Sus scrofa: one gene and its partner. The protein of the gene in region 1 interacts with the protein of each later gene in a biochemical or structural test. Links are inferred from orthologs where the notes say so. Each region holds a gene or a part of one and is shown in the gene's direction. Other genes may lie near its edges.

Region 1 (7,971 bases):
TGCTCCGGGCCAGGCTCACGAGTGTCTCTCCCCACAGACTCCGCGTGCAGCAGCGCCCCGGGCTCCGCGCCCAGCTCGCCCAACAACAGCTCCGGGAGCGTCAGCACGGAGAACGGCATCGCGCCCGCTGTGCCCAGCGTCCCGGCCGAGGTCAGTGCCCTGCGCCCCTGTCCATGGCCGGTATTCCGGCTGGCCCAGCCGTGGCTCCAAAGAGCCGTTTATAGCTGCCCTTCAATCTGCAGTGTTGGGGGCGGCATGTCAGAAGCTTCTCGGGACCCCAGGCCTCAGACACAGGGTGGGGTGTGCCCCTCACCTCTGCTTGGCAGCCCAGGTGTGCTGCAGCTTGAGCCGGACATGGGTGGCGAGAGAGTTCCAGAGAGAGGGGATGGGTGGCTGATCCGGCCAGGTGGAGGGCCGGCCAGGCTGCAGGTCCTGCCCGTGACCGGACCTGGCTTCCAGAACCTCCCCTCCACGCGCCTGTTTCTCTCTTTACTCACTTCACTCAACCTCGGCTCATCCCACAAGTGTCCTGGGGCACGTGCCAAGGGCCTGCCTCCCCGCGGCTCCCCAGCAGCCTGGGATGGGCCGGGGCTGGGGGCCACGTGGGGAGCCGGCTGCACAGTGAGTGTCCCGGGACTGAGCCAGCAGTAGGTGCCCTGTGCTACCTGTGGGGACGGTCCTACAGACTGCGGGGTTCTTGGGAGGTTTTTCCTCCGTCCTTCCGACGTCCAGGAAGCTCGTGTCATTGCCTGCAGTATCTTACTTTCTCTCCTCAATACCTCGAGACGAGTCCCGCCCTCCCAGAGGGCTGCCGAGTCCTGGGGGATAAGCAGACACACGTGACGGCTTTTTCACTGCCAGTTTCTAGAGGCTGGCGTCCAGGCGGGTTTTAGGGCCTCGGGTCACTCCTCGAAGCGCCTCCTCCTCTAGTCTGCTTGATCCCCCGTCGCCTCTTCCTCGTTTCCTCTGTGCATCTGTCCCTTTTGTTACCGTGCATTTCAACCCACCTGCGAAAATCCTCGAGGTGGTTACAGTTTGTAAGACGGAGGTCATACCTGTAATTTGCCTTAGAACTTGGCCTAAAAACTGCTTCCCTGAACGAGATGGACGTGCCGGCTGTGACTTGTCAAGGGCCGTCATGGATCCTGCTTTTGCTTAAAAGGGGCTGTTAGGTACCTAATGGCCCGTACGTAGAGAGGGCTTATGCGGGTGGATGCTGGTTTAACTTATGCGTGAGTTTTTACAAATCCCATGTTAACGTGAATTAAGCTCCTGCAAATTGATGGAAGATGCGAAAGGAATCCCAGGAGGTGGGAAGAGTGCGGTTTCCGTGTTTCACTGAGCTTTTCATTGTAATCGCAGGGGCAGCCTCTGAACATTTGATCTCAGTTGGATTGTGGATTTTGAGACGTGTTAGGATTGGGCAGTTTGGTGAGAGCTCCGGGCCCAGGAAGCCAGGCTGCTCCTGCGGAGATGGGGGGCACGGAGCTGCCTGCACCCCTTTCACTGCGGGACCGAGGGAAGCTCAGCGCCTCCACCCCAGAGGAAGCAGGGCTCCCCCACCCAGGGATGGCCTCCTCCGTGGGGGCGCTTCGTTCCATGCAGAAAGCCAAGTGTGATTTGGAGGCTGGTGGTGGGCGCTGACCTGGCCCTGGACTTTCCAGTGGGAGCGAGTGGTAGGGCCGATGGACACGGCCAGCACCTGACCATGAAGCAGAGGGCTGCTTCATTTATTTATTTTATTTTATTTTATTTTTGGTCTTTTTGTCTTTTTAGGGCCGTACCCACGGCATATGGAGGTTCCCAGGCTAGGGGTCGAATTGGAGCTGCAGCCACCCGCCTACACCGCAGCCACAGCACATATGATCCACAGCTAACGGCAACGCGGGATCTTTAACCCACTGAGCGAGGCCAGGGATCGAACCCATGTCCTCGTGGGTGCTAGTCGGCTTTGCTCACCGCTGAGCCATGATGGGGACTCCCATTTCTAGATGTGAATGAGATGCAAGAGGAAGTGATGGCTTTGCAGACTTGGCATGTCCGTGGCTTTGGTTCCTGGGCATCACAGTCCGGAGCCCTCCTGCCCTCCTTGGCACTCTGAGCCGCTTCCTCTGAAGCACAGCTTGCTGCTTGTTTTTAACCCGGAAAGAGGCCATTTTTTAAGGCGCCCTTGAATCATTACTGTGTTACTATGTGAAAAACCTAAAGCCTAAAGCCTTTGCTGCAGCCACCTTCCTGCAGCTAAACTTCCTCCCAAGTGAGGACACGGTCCTTCCTGCGTTGCCGGGGTGGCATGAGGACAGTTTATCAGGTGCAGCGTGTGACACCGTTGAGCCACCCAGCAAGGCAGGGAATGCCTGCGCCCCGCCGGGGGCGGGGGAAGGGTCTGCCTTCCCGGGGATGGGGGGCAGGGGGGGAGCGCTTTCTAGCTGCGCGGTAGACCTTCCGTCATGGCTTACGGGAACCTGTCATCCCTTTCAGCTCACGCATCTGCACATTTTTATCTTGCAAATGAAATTTTTGAGCACCCAGGTGTTTCTCATCCTTAATTAAAAAATCCTTTGGGGGAAGAACTAGGAGAGACTTGGTGACCTGTCCATCACGAAGGTGACTTTCCGCGACCCCCCGCCGACGTCAGGGCACACACACCACCTGCTGTTGCTCGGCTCGTGGTTGTGACTGTGTGCTCTTGGTCCCTACCGAGGGGAGGAGATGGTGTGAATGAGACAGTGTCCTCTTAGCAAAGGACATGCCTTCTAGAAGCAAGACGATGTGAAATGCCACAGTGGTGCAGGTCCTCGGGGCTGCTGCTTAGCCCCACGTGGTAAATAAGATCCTCAAATTCCTCTAGCTTTACTTCCTAAGAGGACACCCTCAGCGTGGAGGGGAGGGGTCTCGGAGCAAAGATTGGGTCTGTTTTAAGGCTTTTGACAAGGAGCGCCGAATCGTCCTGCAGAAGGAAGGCACCCATTTACCGTCCACCCGGCAGCGTGTTTCCAACTCCCTCGATCACGATGCTGTCGTCATTTTCAAAAAACCTTTGCCAACATGATCAATTTTAAAATACATTTTTAGATTTTTTGATAGGTCTTTAGATTACAGGATGGTGCTGAATTTTCTTTCCTGAGTTTTTTCTCCATGTTGGTTCTTCTTTGTCCTTCCTCATGAATTGTTGTTTGATCTGTGTGCTCTTTATATATTGGCCTCTGTCTGTACTATCCATTGCCAGCCTTGTCGTCAGCACTATTTGCCTTTTATGTGAGGGGATTGTTTTTATTCATCATTTTCCTCTCTCGTTCCTACCTCTCGTGTTTTGTTTGGAAGGACATTCCCAGCTCTCAGAACATATTTTTAAACATACTCTCCTGGATTTAGTCTGGTAGCTTTAGTGCGAATGAGCAAGTTAACTAAAAACAAGCAAGAGTGTGACGGATCGTGAATCAGGTTCTAATGCTGTGGACGGCCGCGTCTGTCTCGCTGCTGTCACTTGTCAAGACAGCTTTGTTCAGGGGACCGCAGGCCTGGCCTGCAGGCTGTGTGACGGCCGTGTGCTCTGTCCGCAGACCAGCTTGGCTCACAGGCTCGTGACTCGGGAAGGCTCCGTGGGCCCCCTCCCCCTCTACACGTCCCCGTCTTTGCCCAACATCACGCTGGGGCTTCCCGCCACCGGCCCTTCCACGGTAAGTAGGCACCCACGGGTCTGCGGGGTTGGCGGGGGGGCGGTGCTATCACTGGCCCACCCCTGGCTCCCCCCACCCCCCATCCCATTCTGCCTCCCCAGGGGGCAGTGGGCCAGCAGGAAGCCCAGCGGCTTGCCCACGGGCCTGCGGGGGTGGGGGACGTTGTCGCCCTGACGGCCCCCGTCCCGCTCTGCCTCCCCAGGCGGCGGGCCAGCAGGAAGCCGAGAGGCTCACCCTCCCCGCCCTCCAGCAGCGCATCCACCTCTTCCCCGGCACCCACCTCTCCCCCTACCTGAGCGCGGCTCCCCTGGACCGGGACGCGGGGACGGCCCACAACCCTCTCCTGCAGCACATGGTCCTCCTGGAGCAGCCGGCCGCGCAGACACCCCTGGTCACAGGTGAGTGCCCTCCAGGCCCCGCTGGGGTGGGCAGTTGTGGGCTTCAAGGGGGCTGGTGAGACGGCCCCCAGCACTGCTGTGCACACCCCCTCACGCGAGGCGGTGGCTCCTTAGACCGCGTCCACCTGCGTGGCAGGTGCATGGAGTCGAGCGGGTCGGCCGCCCTGATGCGCCAGCCGCTCCATGCAGCCGAGTCGGCTCTGCTGGGCGGTCCGTCTCTCTCAGTGAAGTCACCTGACATGCGCCCTAAGGGACGGTTGTATTAGAAGGGCCCGCAGCAGGGAAAAGCATTACTCCGGTGATGGAGCCCATGGGCTCCCTGGAGGCGAGGAAGCCTCCATCCCACGGCCAGGCCCCGTCTGTGGTGCTCGGCCTCCCCCGGGTTTTGGGGGTTGACCGAGTCCGAGTAGCCACGGGGCAGCCCTGACCCTGAGCCCTCCTCGGCCGTCTGTGCCTACAGTCCATGTGGTTGCTCTTAGTTTTACGGGGCTTGGCCTTCAACCTCACTCTGTCCCTCCCCCGCCCCCGCCTGTCCTTCCTGGGGTCTCGGGCCACCCCCCTGCCCCCACCCCCACCCTGATCCTGGGTCTTTCTTGCGGGAAGGCCCCTTGCATGCAGTTTCACTCCCACTGCGTCCTCCAGCTCCACTCAGGGGCCCTCCGGGGTCCAGAGCAGCACCATCCAGGGTGGCCGTTCACATTTCAGTTCCAAATTAAGAGCACAGGGAAAATTGGTTCAGGCCCACGTGTGACCTAGAAAACGCTCCCTTGGCTGCCGGCCGTGGGGCGGTAGGCACGTGGAACGTACCTTCCACACAGAAGGCTCTGCTGGGCAGCCTGGCCTGGAGGGAAGCTGCAGCCCTGAGCAGGCAGCCACCTGCCCGGCCTCCCAGTGCCTCCTCTCCACACAGGGTACGAGGCTCCCTTGGGCGGGGGGCCGACACGGGCCCTCTGGAAGCACCCTCTTCTCAGAGCCCTCTCGGCACTGGGTCCGGCTTGCATGCACCCACCTCCCGCCAGGAGCCCCGGCCTTCCTCCTGGTCCTGCTGCCGCAGTGCAGCTTCTCATGCTCCGTCTCGTCTGCACCCTGGCCACCTCCTCCCTCCCCCCCACGCAGCAGTTGGTGCGTGGTGGGTGCACAGATGTCTCTGCGACTGGACCATGTGCCAGGCGGGGTGTCTGAGCAGGGCCAGGGAGGGTCACTCAGCACGGGTTTGCTCTGGCGGGTTCTCTGAGGTTCCCGAGGGGTCGGCCCACAGCCCTGCCTGTTGGTGATGGTCTCTGTGGACAGACGGTGTCAGAGCTAGAACCCAGGTCCTTTCCCAAATGCCTGGCAGCGGGTCCCTGCTGGGGAAGGTGCGGGGTCCTGGGTCCACGCGCCGCCTGCTCAGAGCGGCTTGTGCATCCTCGGTGTCAGAAGCTCTGGGACGCCCTCGACAGACTGGAATCTTCCCCTGAAAGGAGCAGGGGGCCCTGAAATGGTCCCAGGTCGAGTCTCCAAGCAGCGGGCCCAGGCCGGACGCTCAGGGCCGAAAGAAGCTGTGTTTGCTGCTCGCTCTAGTCCTCCCCAGGCTGGACACACGTGGGCCAGGCATGTGGATTGTATCTTCCACATAGAAGGTTCTGCTGGGCAGCCTGGCCTGGAGGGAAGCCACGACCCTGAGCAGGCAGCCACCTGCCCAGTGCATCACCCGTGGCCGGCGAGCAGAGCTGTCAGATCAGCGTCTCCTACTCGCCAGGCACCCCACTCCCCCGACCCACGGAGAGCTTTGCAGTTGGGGCTCATGGAGAAGGTTGGGTGCTGGGCTTGCAGCAGGGTGCAGTCAGGGAAGGCTTCCTGGGGGCGTGCACCTTCCCTGAGACTTTTGTAGGAATCGCAGGTGAACAGGTGGAATAAAGGGCCCAGGAGAGAGGCAGGTGGGGGCGCCTGGCGGATGTGGCTGTGTCACCCAGGCTTCCGGCCACTCAGCAATGTGCTGCGAGTGTGGCCACCTCCTGGGAACCTAGCTGGCCATCCCAGAGCTCCCAAGTAGGCTGACTGACTGGGCCAGATGGGGCTTGCAGCCTGGGATGCTAGCCAGGCACCCAGGTTGTGCTGCTCTGCCAGTTGAGACCTAAGTCCTGCTTGGTTCATTCCCCCCTGAAATGCTTGACAGATGTTGGCCGTGGCTGGTAGGGCAGTGGATTTGTAAGACCTCAGGACGCAGGCGCTGCTCATCTCGGGCAGATTCCTGCATCTGGACAGGACCCAGTGCAGCGGTAAAACGTCCGCCGCTGGCCTGGTGGAGAAACACCATCTCATGTGCCAGCGTGGACCCCGGGGAGGCTGCCCCTGCCCCGTCACCCCCAGCCCATCCCCCAGGAGGAACAGAGTGTGTGCCCGGGGGGCGCCCTGGCACGGGCTCTGCGGTCAACGTGGCTCCTTTCCCGGGCCCGGTGGGCCTTCTGCCCATGCTGCGGGCTGGAGGAGCGAAGCCCCATTCAACCTCCCTGCCCGCCTCTGCAGGCAGCTGGGCACCTAGGGCAGAGTCCGATCCTAATCGACTGAGCCCTCGTGCTTAAAAATGTTACGGTATGTTCCGAAAAGCAGCCAACTGTGAGGTATCATCCCAAACCCTCGTAATGATGGGGGCATCTTAGGCACAGAAGCGCCCTGGCCAGCCCCCGGTTTGCTGCCAGAAGGTCAGAGGTCCAGTCCTCAGCCATGCTGATCGGTACCTTTGTCCCGAGTGTGGTGGCCCCACGGCTTTACACTCTGCAGGCACTGGAGTGACATCCGGGGTGAATGGGATGAGGGGGAGAGCTGGGGCAGCAGCAGACCAGGATCCCCCCAAAGGGCCCCCGACCCGGGCAGCCCTGTGTCCGACCCAGGCACTCGCCCGTCAGGCCCTTCCACCATCCGCCCGCGTCCCTGGAGCACAGTGGCCTGTGTCGGGTCAGCCAAGAGCTGACGTGGTCAGGGCACCTGTTGCTTCTCCCGGCCAGACGCCCCGGTCTGGGGTCGTTGTCAGCCTGGGATGCCGTTAGCGTTTCTCCCCCTTCGGTGGCCAAGGAACAGACGCTTGGGGGCTGAAAGGGCTTGTCTTACCCCTTTGCTGGTGGAACCAGGGGACAGCAGTAAACTCTCCAAACTAACGACTTGTTTGAAAGACACGACCGATGCCTGGAAGGGAGGCGGGAGGGAAGATGCTGAAGGAGGCTGTCCGCCTGAGGCGGTTGCTCTTTAAAACAAGATTCAAACTCAGATTCAAACAAGATCCTCTCCTGCCCGTGTCGATTCTCAGTTCAGACTCTCGGTCAAGACAGGGGTGGGTGTGGCCGCCCTTTTCCTGGGCAGCTGAGGCCAGACCCTTTGCTGGAAACAGAGATCTTGACAGTGGGCGTCAGAAGGGCGCGTGGTGTTAACGCCTCTGTGTGTAAAAAGGCCTGATCCCTGAGGGCGGTCGGTGTCTTCCTCGCGCCCTGGTTTCTGTGGCCGTCAGCGAGGAGCCCGGTCGCCGGCCTTCCAGAAGCCTCTGGAGCCACCGGAACCACAGCCCCCTCCTCGGCTGGGCCTGTGCGTCTCCTCACCCACAGTGCTGTTCGGGCAAAGCTTTTCGGCCTTGGCCCCATTGAGGGCAGGTTGCTGGGGCCACTCAGACCCCGTTTATGGCTGGACCTGGATGTCAGGAGCAGTGGCCTCCAGGGGACGGCCTCTGCATGAAGCCGGGGCCGGGAAGCTCACCGGGCTGGAGCAGGCCCGGCAGGCTTCCGGGAGGCGGTGCCGGGCTGGCGGGTGCAGTCCCCGTGGTCTCCAGCCGTCACTCACCCGCCTCTCCCTCCTCTCTTCTTCCTCTTCCCTCTGCGCCTTTTCCTCCGTATTATCTTCAGACTGGTATCTTGCAGGCCTGGGAG
Region 2 (7,971 bases), on another chromosome or scaffold:
GAAGGACCAGGAGTTCTGTTGGATCCAGGCCCCACCTTTATGATCCCATTTAGCCTTAATTACCTTCAAGTAGGATCCTATCTCCAAATACAGCTACACTGGGGATTAGGCCTTCAACATATGAATTGGGGTGGGAAACATACCTTTCAATCCAAAGCAGAGCCCCGGGACTGTGGGTATGATCCCCCGAAGGAGAGAAGCCAACTAAAGATGCAGCCCAGAGTCAGCCTCTCCTTTCACTTTCTGGACGGGCCTTGCTTGCTTCTCCCTCGAGGTCCTGCACACCTTCCTTGTGCCTGGAAGGTGAGGTTCCCAGCCCACTTGCTGCCTGGTGAGGTCACCCCCACACACACACCTCCACCACCTTGTGCCCCCAGATCTCAACTCCAGTGTTCCATCTTCTGAGTGAAGTCAGAGGCCCGGACCTACAGCTTGTTAATCTGTGTGACCCAGGATGCCTCTGTCTGGGCTCCGGAGGCCTGAATTAGTTGTTTCCCGCCCCAGGCTCCTGGCATTTCCTGCCCCAGGCAGGCGCTTGGCAAATATTTGTTGAGTGACTGTTGAGAGGCCATGGAAACCGTATGTCGCGCCCTTGCACCTCATCAGGAAACCCACTGTCATCCAGGGCCAGGAGTAGTGTTGCTGGAAAAGTCTCCTGTGGGGCTGGGGGCTTCCCCTCCCATCCTGGGGGATCAGGGGGATCCCAGAAGATGGGCAGGCTGATGTGCCAAATTGGGAGGAGTATGTGGCCAAAAACAAAAACTGAATATGTGGCTTTTAAAACGATGCCCTGTCTGCCCATAAAGGCTCACTCCTGAGACAGTCACAACCCTCTGTGGGAATTCTCCCAAAACTGGTCTGGGCTCCAGGCTCTCCATTGTTCACTCAAATGTTCATCCTCACTGGGCCAGGGCCTCCTTGTCCCTCACACTGTGCTGACTTCCAGAGACACAGTCACCTCACCTGAAATTAAATCACCCTCTGTGTCTCCCCACTGGGCAGTGAGCTCCATACAGGCATAGCCAGCCCTCTTCAGGGCTGTGTCCCCAGCACCTTGCAGTCCATTGGGGTGGGGTGGGGGTGAGTGAATACCTCCCCATTTTACAGATGAACAGACTGAGGCACAGAGAGGTGAGGGGCTGGCCTGAGGTCACACAGCTTCAGGATGATGGGGCTGTTGCAGCAGAACCCAGGTTTAGAAGTCTCTGTCATGGCTTAGCAGTAACAAACCCAACTAGTATCCATGAGGACACGGGTTTCATCCTGGCCTTGCTTAGTGGGTTAAGGATCCAGCATTGTATTGAGCTATGGTGTAGATCGCAGACATTGCTATGGCTGTGGTGTAGGCAGGCAGCTATAGCTGCCATTCGACCCCTAGCCTGGGAACTACCATATGCTGCGGGTGTGGCTCTAGCTCTGCTGTATGCCTGTCCTGCCTTGGTCCACTTCCTAGGGGTTGTGAACCTCTCATGCCACGGGTCTAGAGCACCCCTCCAGGGACTAGAGGCCAACCAGCCTCTTCCTTGTCTGCCTTGGCCCTGGTCACTTGGTCCCCAGTACCCCAAAGGGCTTTGGTTTGGCAGTCTGGGGAGGCGGGTCAGGGCTCTGTCCTTTGCCTCTTGATGCCTCAGTTTCCCCTGCCTCCTCACTCAGAGGCCCAGCTCCTGGGAGCTGTATGCTGCCTTGTAACTAGGATTTCCCTGTCACTGCCTCCCCCTCCTGATTGCCTTTTTGTTTTTCGTAGCAGTAACAATGATTTTGATGAAGAGGAAGAGGGTACAGCTGAGGGAAACCTTGGGTTTCATTGGTCAGACAGATCTGGCTTTGAATCTTGTCTCTACCGCTTATGTGTAACCTTAGGACAGATCTTAGCTTCTGCATGGACTCAGCTTTCCCAGCTGAGTTTTAGGGGTAGGAAATCAACCCCATTGGCTTGCTGAGAAGAATCAGGGAGCTCACTAAGGTCAGGCGTCAGCTCCTGTGGTAGCCTGGGTGCTGGGAGGGATAGGGCCTGCGTCTCCCTCAGGGTCTCCCACGTGGAGCAGCTCAGTGAGTATGGGTTGAGTGTGCAGAATCAGGTTGGCCTTAACAGTGTTAATTTCCAAGGGAAGAAGCAGAGATGTGGAGTTCCTGGTCCCTAAAGCAAGTCTGTTCTGGAGCCGAGACACCCTGGCTTGAGTGCACCTCAGCCCATGAGCACCTGGCCCCTTCTGTTCCTCCTGGCAGCCCTTTCGGAATGAGCCCAGATAGGGCTCAGGTCCCCACTGCATCCCCCATGCTCACCCCTCAGAGGCAGCTTAGGTTGGACTTGTTAAAGTAAAAAACTGAAGATCCTCGAGAGCTAACCTGGAAGGACAGGGTGGGAGTGCGGGGGCTCTAGGTAGTTCCTGCCCCAGGGACTTTGCACACTCTTCTCTTTTTTCCTCACCCACCTGACTCTCTGCTCAGGCCTCTCTTCTCACCCCTACCTGCCCATGCAGGTCCACTGCCCTTTATACCTGTAACATTGCAGGGGACTCCCTTTTACCAGTAGGGGCGCTTGTAAAGCCACATCTTCCCGCATAGCCCTTTTATGATTACCCCCAGAGCATGGGACATGCTGGTCTCCCCTGACCAGTTCTTCTCCTGGGCTGGAATGTGCACTGATGGAATAGGTTCTGATGCAGAGGTTCACACTTTTGAGAGGTGCCAGGGCCCCCCAGGTAGTACCTCACAGGTCAAGATCTCAGGCAGTTCCTTAAATTCATATTTCTTTCTCTACCCACCCCTCAAGCACTTTGAAGTTAATTTGCGTAAATGTGGTGTTGGGGTTCCCCATGTGGCTCAGTGGAAACATTCCCACTAGTATCCAAGAGGGTGCATGTACTATCCCTGGCCTTGTTCAGTAGGTCGGGGATCTGGTGTTGCTGTGAGCTGTGGTATAGGTCACAGACGCAGCTTGGATCCTGTGTGGCTGTGGCTGTGGCTGGCAGCTATAGCTCTGATTCAATCCCTAGCCTGGAATCCTCCATGTGCCGCGAGTGCGGCCCTAAAAAGCAAAAAAAAAAAAAAAAAAAAAAAAAAAGTTATTTCACACACTTTATTTCTTATTAAATGCTTTTTTGGCTTTTGTCATTTAAGGGCTGCACCCATGGCATATGGAGGTTCCCAGGCTAGGGGCTGGATTGGAGCTATAGCTTCCGGCCTACACCACAGCTCACAACAACGCCGGATCTCTAACCCACTGAGCGAGGCCAGGGATCGAACCTGCAACCTCATGGTTCCTACTTGGATTCATTTTCACCACACCACGACGGGAACCCCAATACTTTTTATTTTTGTAAATAGGCAATACATTCACCAGGTTCAATATTTAAAACACCTTAAGAATATACATGGCGGAGTTCCCGTCGTGGCGCAGTGGTTAACGAATCCGACTAGGAACCATGAGGTTGCAGGTTCGATCCCTGCCCTTGCTCAGTGGGTTAACGATCCGGCATTGCCGTGAGCTGTGGTGTAGGTTGCAGACGCGGCTCGGATCCCGCGTTGCTGTGGCTCTGGCGTAGGCCGGTGGCTACAGCTCTGACTCAACCCCTAGCCTGGGAACCTCCATATGCCGCGGGAGCGGCCCAAGAAATAGCAACAATAACAACAACAATAACAAAGACAAAAGACAAAAAAAAAAAAAAAAAAAAAGAATGTACGTGGCAAGTCTCATCCCAAATTCTGCACATTGGACATAAGTCTTATAGTTTCTTTGAGCAGCTTTCTGGAGATGCATATATCATGCAGTTCACCCATTTAAAGGGTACAGATTTAGTAGTTTTTAGCATATTCACAGAGTTGTGTATCCATCACCACAATTTCAGAACATTTTTCTTTAGGGCAAGAAGAAACCCTGACCCATTTGCTCACACTCCCCCAATCCTCCCAGCCCCCAGCAGCCACTAATCTGCTGTCTCTATGGCTTTGCATATTCCGGCCATTTCATAAGCATGGGATTGTGTAATATGTGGGCCTTCAGTCTGGCTTCTTGGATTTAACATGTTGTTTTTTTTTTTTTTTTTTTTGTCTTTTTGTCTTTTGTCTTTTTGTTGTTTTTGTTGCTATTTCTTGGGCCGCTCCCGCGGCATATGGAGGTTCCCAGGCTAGGGGTTGAATTGGAGCTGTAGCCACCAGCCTATGCCAGAGCCACAGCAACGCGGGATCCGAGCCGCGTCTGCAACCTACACCACAGCTCACGGCAATGCCGGATCGTTAACCCACTGAGCAAGGCCAGGGACCAAACCCGCAACCTCATGGTTCCTAGTCGGATTCGTTAACCACTGCGCCACGACGGGAACTCCGGATTTAACATGTTTTTTAAGGTTTATTCAAGTTGTGGCATGTGTCAGTAGTTTGTTCCTTTTTATGGCTGAATAGTATTCTGTTGTAGATGCACCACATTTTGTTTATGCATCCATCAGCTGATGGATGTTTAGTTTTTTTCCACCTTTTGCCTGTTGTGGGTGGTGCTGGTATAAACATTCATGGACAGGCATATGTGTGGATATATGTTTGCCTTTCTGGGGTATAATTCCTAGAAGTGGAATTGCTGGGTCATATGGTAACTTCATGTTTAAACATCTGAGGAACCGTTTTCCCCAGCAACTGTACAACTTTGCATTTCCACCAGCAACATAGGAGGGTTTCCATTCATTTCATCCTCACTAACACTTATTTATCTTTTTTATTCTGCCCACCCTAGCGGGTATGAAATGGTGTCCCATTGTGGTTTGGATTTGCGATTCCCCGATGTCTAGTGATGTTCCCATACAGTTTCAGGGGTTTTGAGTTGTCATTCTGTCATTCAACAAATGGTGATTGAGGGTCATGTGCTCAGCACTGAGAATGCAGCATATAAGATCCGATGACTCTGCCTTCCTGGCGTTCCTATGTCAGTGCCCTTCACTATGTGTGTAGTGCTAGTGATGGCTAACAGTCATGGGGTGCTCACTGTGACATCTCATGTATTATTCAACCACATATGCATAAGAATGCCTTTGCCCTCCTTCTGCAAGGGACAGCAGGCAGCCACCCTGCTGATTTGACAGTCTGTCACAGGCAAGGCCACGCTGGGACAGGAGTGGCTGGCTCCTGGGATCCTTATAGTCATGCAAATTCCACCATGTGGCTGTCCGAGCGCCCGTGTGTCTCCCTGCAGTGGGCTGAGTCTGCTGCCTGACCCTCGTCCTTCTGTCTCTCCATGTCCCCTTCGCAGCCGCCGCCATGGCCCAGACGCTGCAGATGGAGATCCCGAACTTTGGCAACAGCATTCTGGAGTGCCTCAACGAGCAGCGGCTGCAGGGCCTGTACTGTGATGTGTCGGTGGTGGTCAAGGGCCACGCCTTCAAGGCCCACCGGGCTGTGCTGGCCGCCAGCAGCTCCTACTTCCGGGACCTGTTCAACAGCAGCCGGAGCGCTGTGGTGGAGCTGCCGGCGGCCGTGCAGCCCCAGTCCTTCCAGCAGATCCTCAGCTTCTGCTACACTGGCCGGCTGAGCATGAACATGGGTGACCAGTTCCTGCTCATGTACACGGCTGGCTTCCTGCAGATACAGGAGATCATGGAGAAGGGCACAGAGTTCTTCCTCAAGGTGAGCTCCCCTAGCTGCGACTCCCAGGGCCTGCACGCCGAGGAGGCGCCCTCGTCCGAGCCCCAGAGCCCCGTGGCGCAGACGTCGAGCTGGCCGGCCTGCGGTACCCCGCTGCCCCTGGTGTCTCGAGTCAAGACAGAGCAGCAGGAGTCGGACTCTGTGCAGTGCACGCCTGTGGCCAAGCGGCTATGGGACAGCGGCCAGAAGGAGGCGGGCGGTGGCAGTGGTAGCAACGGCAGCCGCAAGATGGCCAAGTTTTCCACGCCAGATCTGACCGCCAACCGGGCACCCCAGCAGCCCCCGGTGGTGGCAGCTGCACAGCCCACTGGGGTGGCTGCAGGGGCCGGAGCTGGGCAATCGACTGGGGGAGCGGCAGCGGTGGCGGCAGCGGCGGCAGCAGGGGCAGTGGTGAGTGGGCCCAGCACGTCGGAGCGGACCAGCCCAGGCACCTCAAGTGCCTACACCAGCGACAGCCCCAGCTCCTACCACAATGAGGAGGACGAGGAGGAGGACGCGGGCGAGGAGGGCACAGATGAGCAGTACCGGCAGATCTGCAATATGTACACCATGTACAGCATGATGAACGTCGGCCAGACCGGTGAGGCACCTGCCTGGCCCCGCAACCCCCCACCCCAGCCTGGCCCCTCTCCCTCTGCTGCCCCTATCCCCAACACACCACTCTTTCCCCTACCCCCCAGCCGAGAAGGTGGAGGCCCTCCCCGAGCAGGTGGCCCCCGAGTCCCGGAATCGCATCCGGGTACGGCAGGACCTGGCATCTCTCCCCGCTGAGCTCATCAACCAGATCGGTAACCGCTGCCACCCCAAGCTCTACGACGAGGGCGACCCTTCTGAGAAGCTGGAGCTGGTGACAGGTGGGCCAGCCTCACTCCCTCCCTGAATTCTCCCTGCCCCTCACCTCAGGCAGCCAGACCCAAGGTCCGGGAGTTCCCTGGCAACCTAGTAGTTAAGGACCCAATGTCATCGCTGCTGTGGCTCATTGTCATTACTGTGGCGTGGGTTCAGTTCCTGGCCTGGGAATTTCCACATGTAGCAGCGCAGCCCAAAAACCTCAAACAAAACAAAAACAAGAGACTCAAAAGTCCATCCCCAGCCCTGCTGCCCATTACCTACATCCTAGGGCAGGTGACACCCCCTAGCATTGATACAAATGCAAGACTGTCTTCTAGGTTTCTACCCCGGAGGTTGGTGTAAGTGTTGGCTGGCATTGTTGGCCAGCATTGTTGGCCATGTAGGGATAGGTCAGAGGCTTCACAGGGTTTGAATTTGGCCCTTGAAGTCAGGATGTCATGTGAGCCTCTGTTGCCTGTTTTTTTCTGACACTGGTGTTACGTGGGCAAGAGCCGGGTAGGGTGGGTGCCCCATGGACAGTGGTGCTACAGTCTCCATCCTTTCCTGAGTATTGATGAGGCCACTCTGGGTTGAGTTGTGAAGGAGGGTCTAGGTTGGGCCCAGCCCAGCACCTGGCCGAGTGGGCTTCCTGGCCATCCTCTGGCTCCCCGCCCCCCCTCCAGGCACCAACGTGTACATCACAAGAGCGCAGCTCATGAACTGCCACGTCAGCGCAGGCACGCGGCACAAGGTCCTGCTGCGGCGCCTCCTGGCCTCCTTCTTTGACCGGTGAGTCTCACGCCAGAGCCCTAGGGATTGGGGGTGAGGTGGGGCCGTCCCGTGCCCCCACGGCCACAGGGGGCCTGACTCCCCCACCCCATGCTCCCCTGCCCAGGAACACACTGGCCAACAGCTGTGGCACCGGCATCCGCTCTTCCAGTAACAACCCCAGCCGCAAGCCACTGGACAGTCGTGTCCTCCATGCCGTCAAGTGTGAGTGTCCACCCTTCTGGAGGTGGGGGTGGGGGCCTAGGGCGGGCATTGGGTCCTTTTCTCTGGTGTTGGTCCTAACGGATCGGTAAGTAGGGCTTGGTGTTAAGGCTTCTAAGCTTTAATATAGACTGGTTGGGAAGAGGGCTGGGATTGCTTAGAGATTAAGTGGACTCTCCCTGGTTTTAAATTTTGGCAAATGACGAACATTTTTCAAGTGCATCAAATCCACACATCCCCCACATATGGCCAAGCTGGGTCAGGCCTGGGGCCTGCCGATGTGGTTTAGCAAGCTGTCTGCGAGGCCTCAGTTCCCTCACTTCCCAGGGCTTTGGGGATGCTCTATGTGTATGTGTGTGTATGTCTTTGGGACATTCAGGAGCAGCGGGGCCAAGTGCCTGTCTGCAAATTGGGAGGTAAGGGCCCTGCTCAGCCTGAGCTACCCATTCTGCCTGTACAGACTACTGCCAGAACTTTGCCCCTAACTTCAAGGAAAGCGAGATGAACGCCATCGCAGCC

Evidence for each region.
Region 2: the proteins of HDAC4 (region 1) and NACC1 form a complex in vitro, tested with the Homo sapiens proteins (2 studies listed by BioGRID). The link is inferred for Sus scrofa from reciprocal best matches to the Homo sapiens genes HDAC4 and NACC1.

Annotation. Positions count from the first base shown.
Region 1 is NC_010457.5:138,431,202-138,439,172, reverse strand, and holds part of HDAC4 (histone deacetylase 4), read left to right. Parts: intron 1-37; coding exon 38-150; intron 151-3,563; coding exon 3,564-3,680; intron 3,681-3,882; coding exon 3,883-4,078; intron 4,079-7,947; coding exon 7,948-7,971. UniProt on the Homo sapiens protein: Responsible for the deacetylation of lysine residues on the N-terminal part of the core histones (H2A, H2B, H3 and H4).
Region 2 is NC_010444.4:65,923,334-65,931,304, reverse strand, and holds part of NACC1 (nucleus accumbens-associated protein 1), read left to right. Parts: intron 1-5,239; 5' UTR 5,240-5,247; coding exon 5,248-6,211; intron 6,212-6,311; coding exon 6,312-6,485; intron 6,486-7,145; coding exon 7,146-7,251; intron 7,252-7,357; coding exon 7,358-7,455; intron 7,456-7,912; coding exon 7,913-7,971. UniProt on the Homo sapiens protein: Functions as a transcriptional repressor. Seems to function as a transcriptional corepressor in neuronal cells through recruitment of HDAC3 and HDAC4. Contributes to tumor progression, and tumor cell proliferation and survival.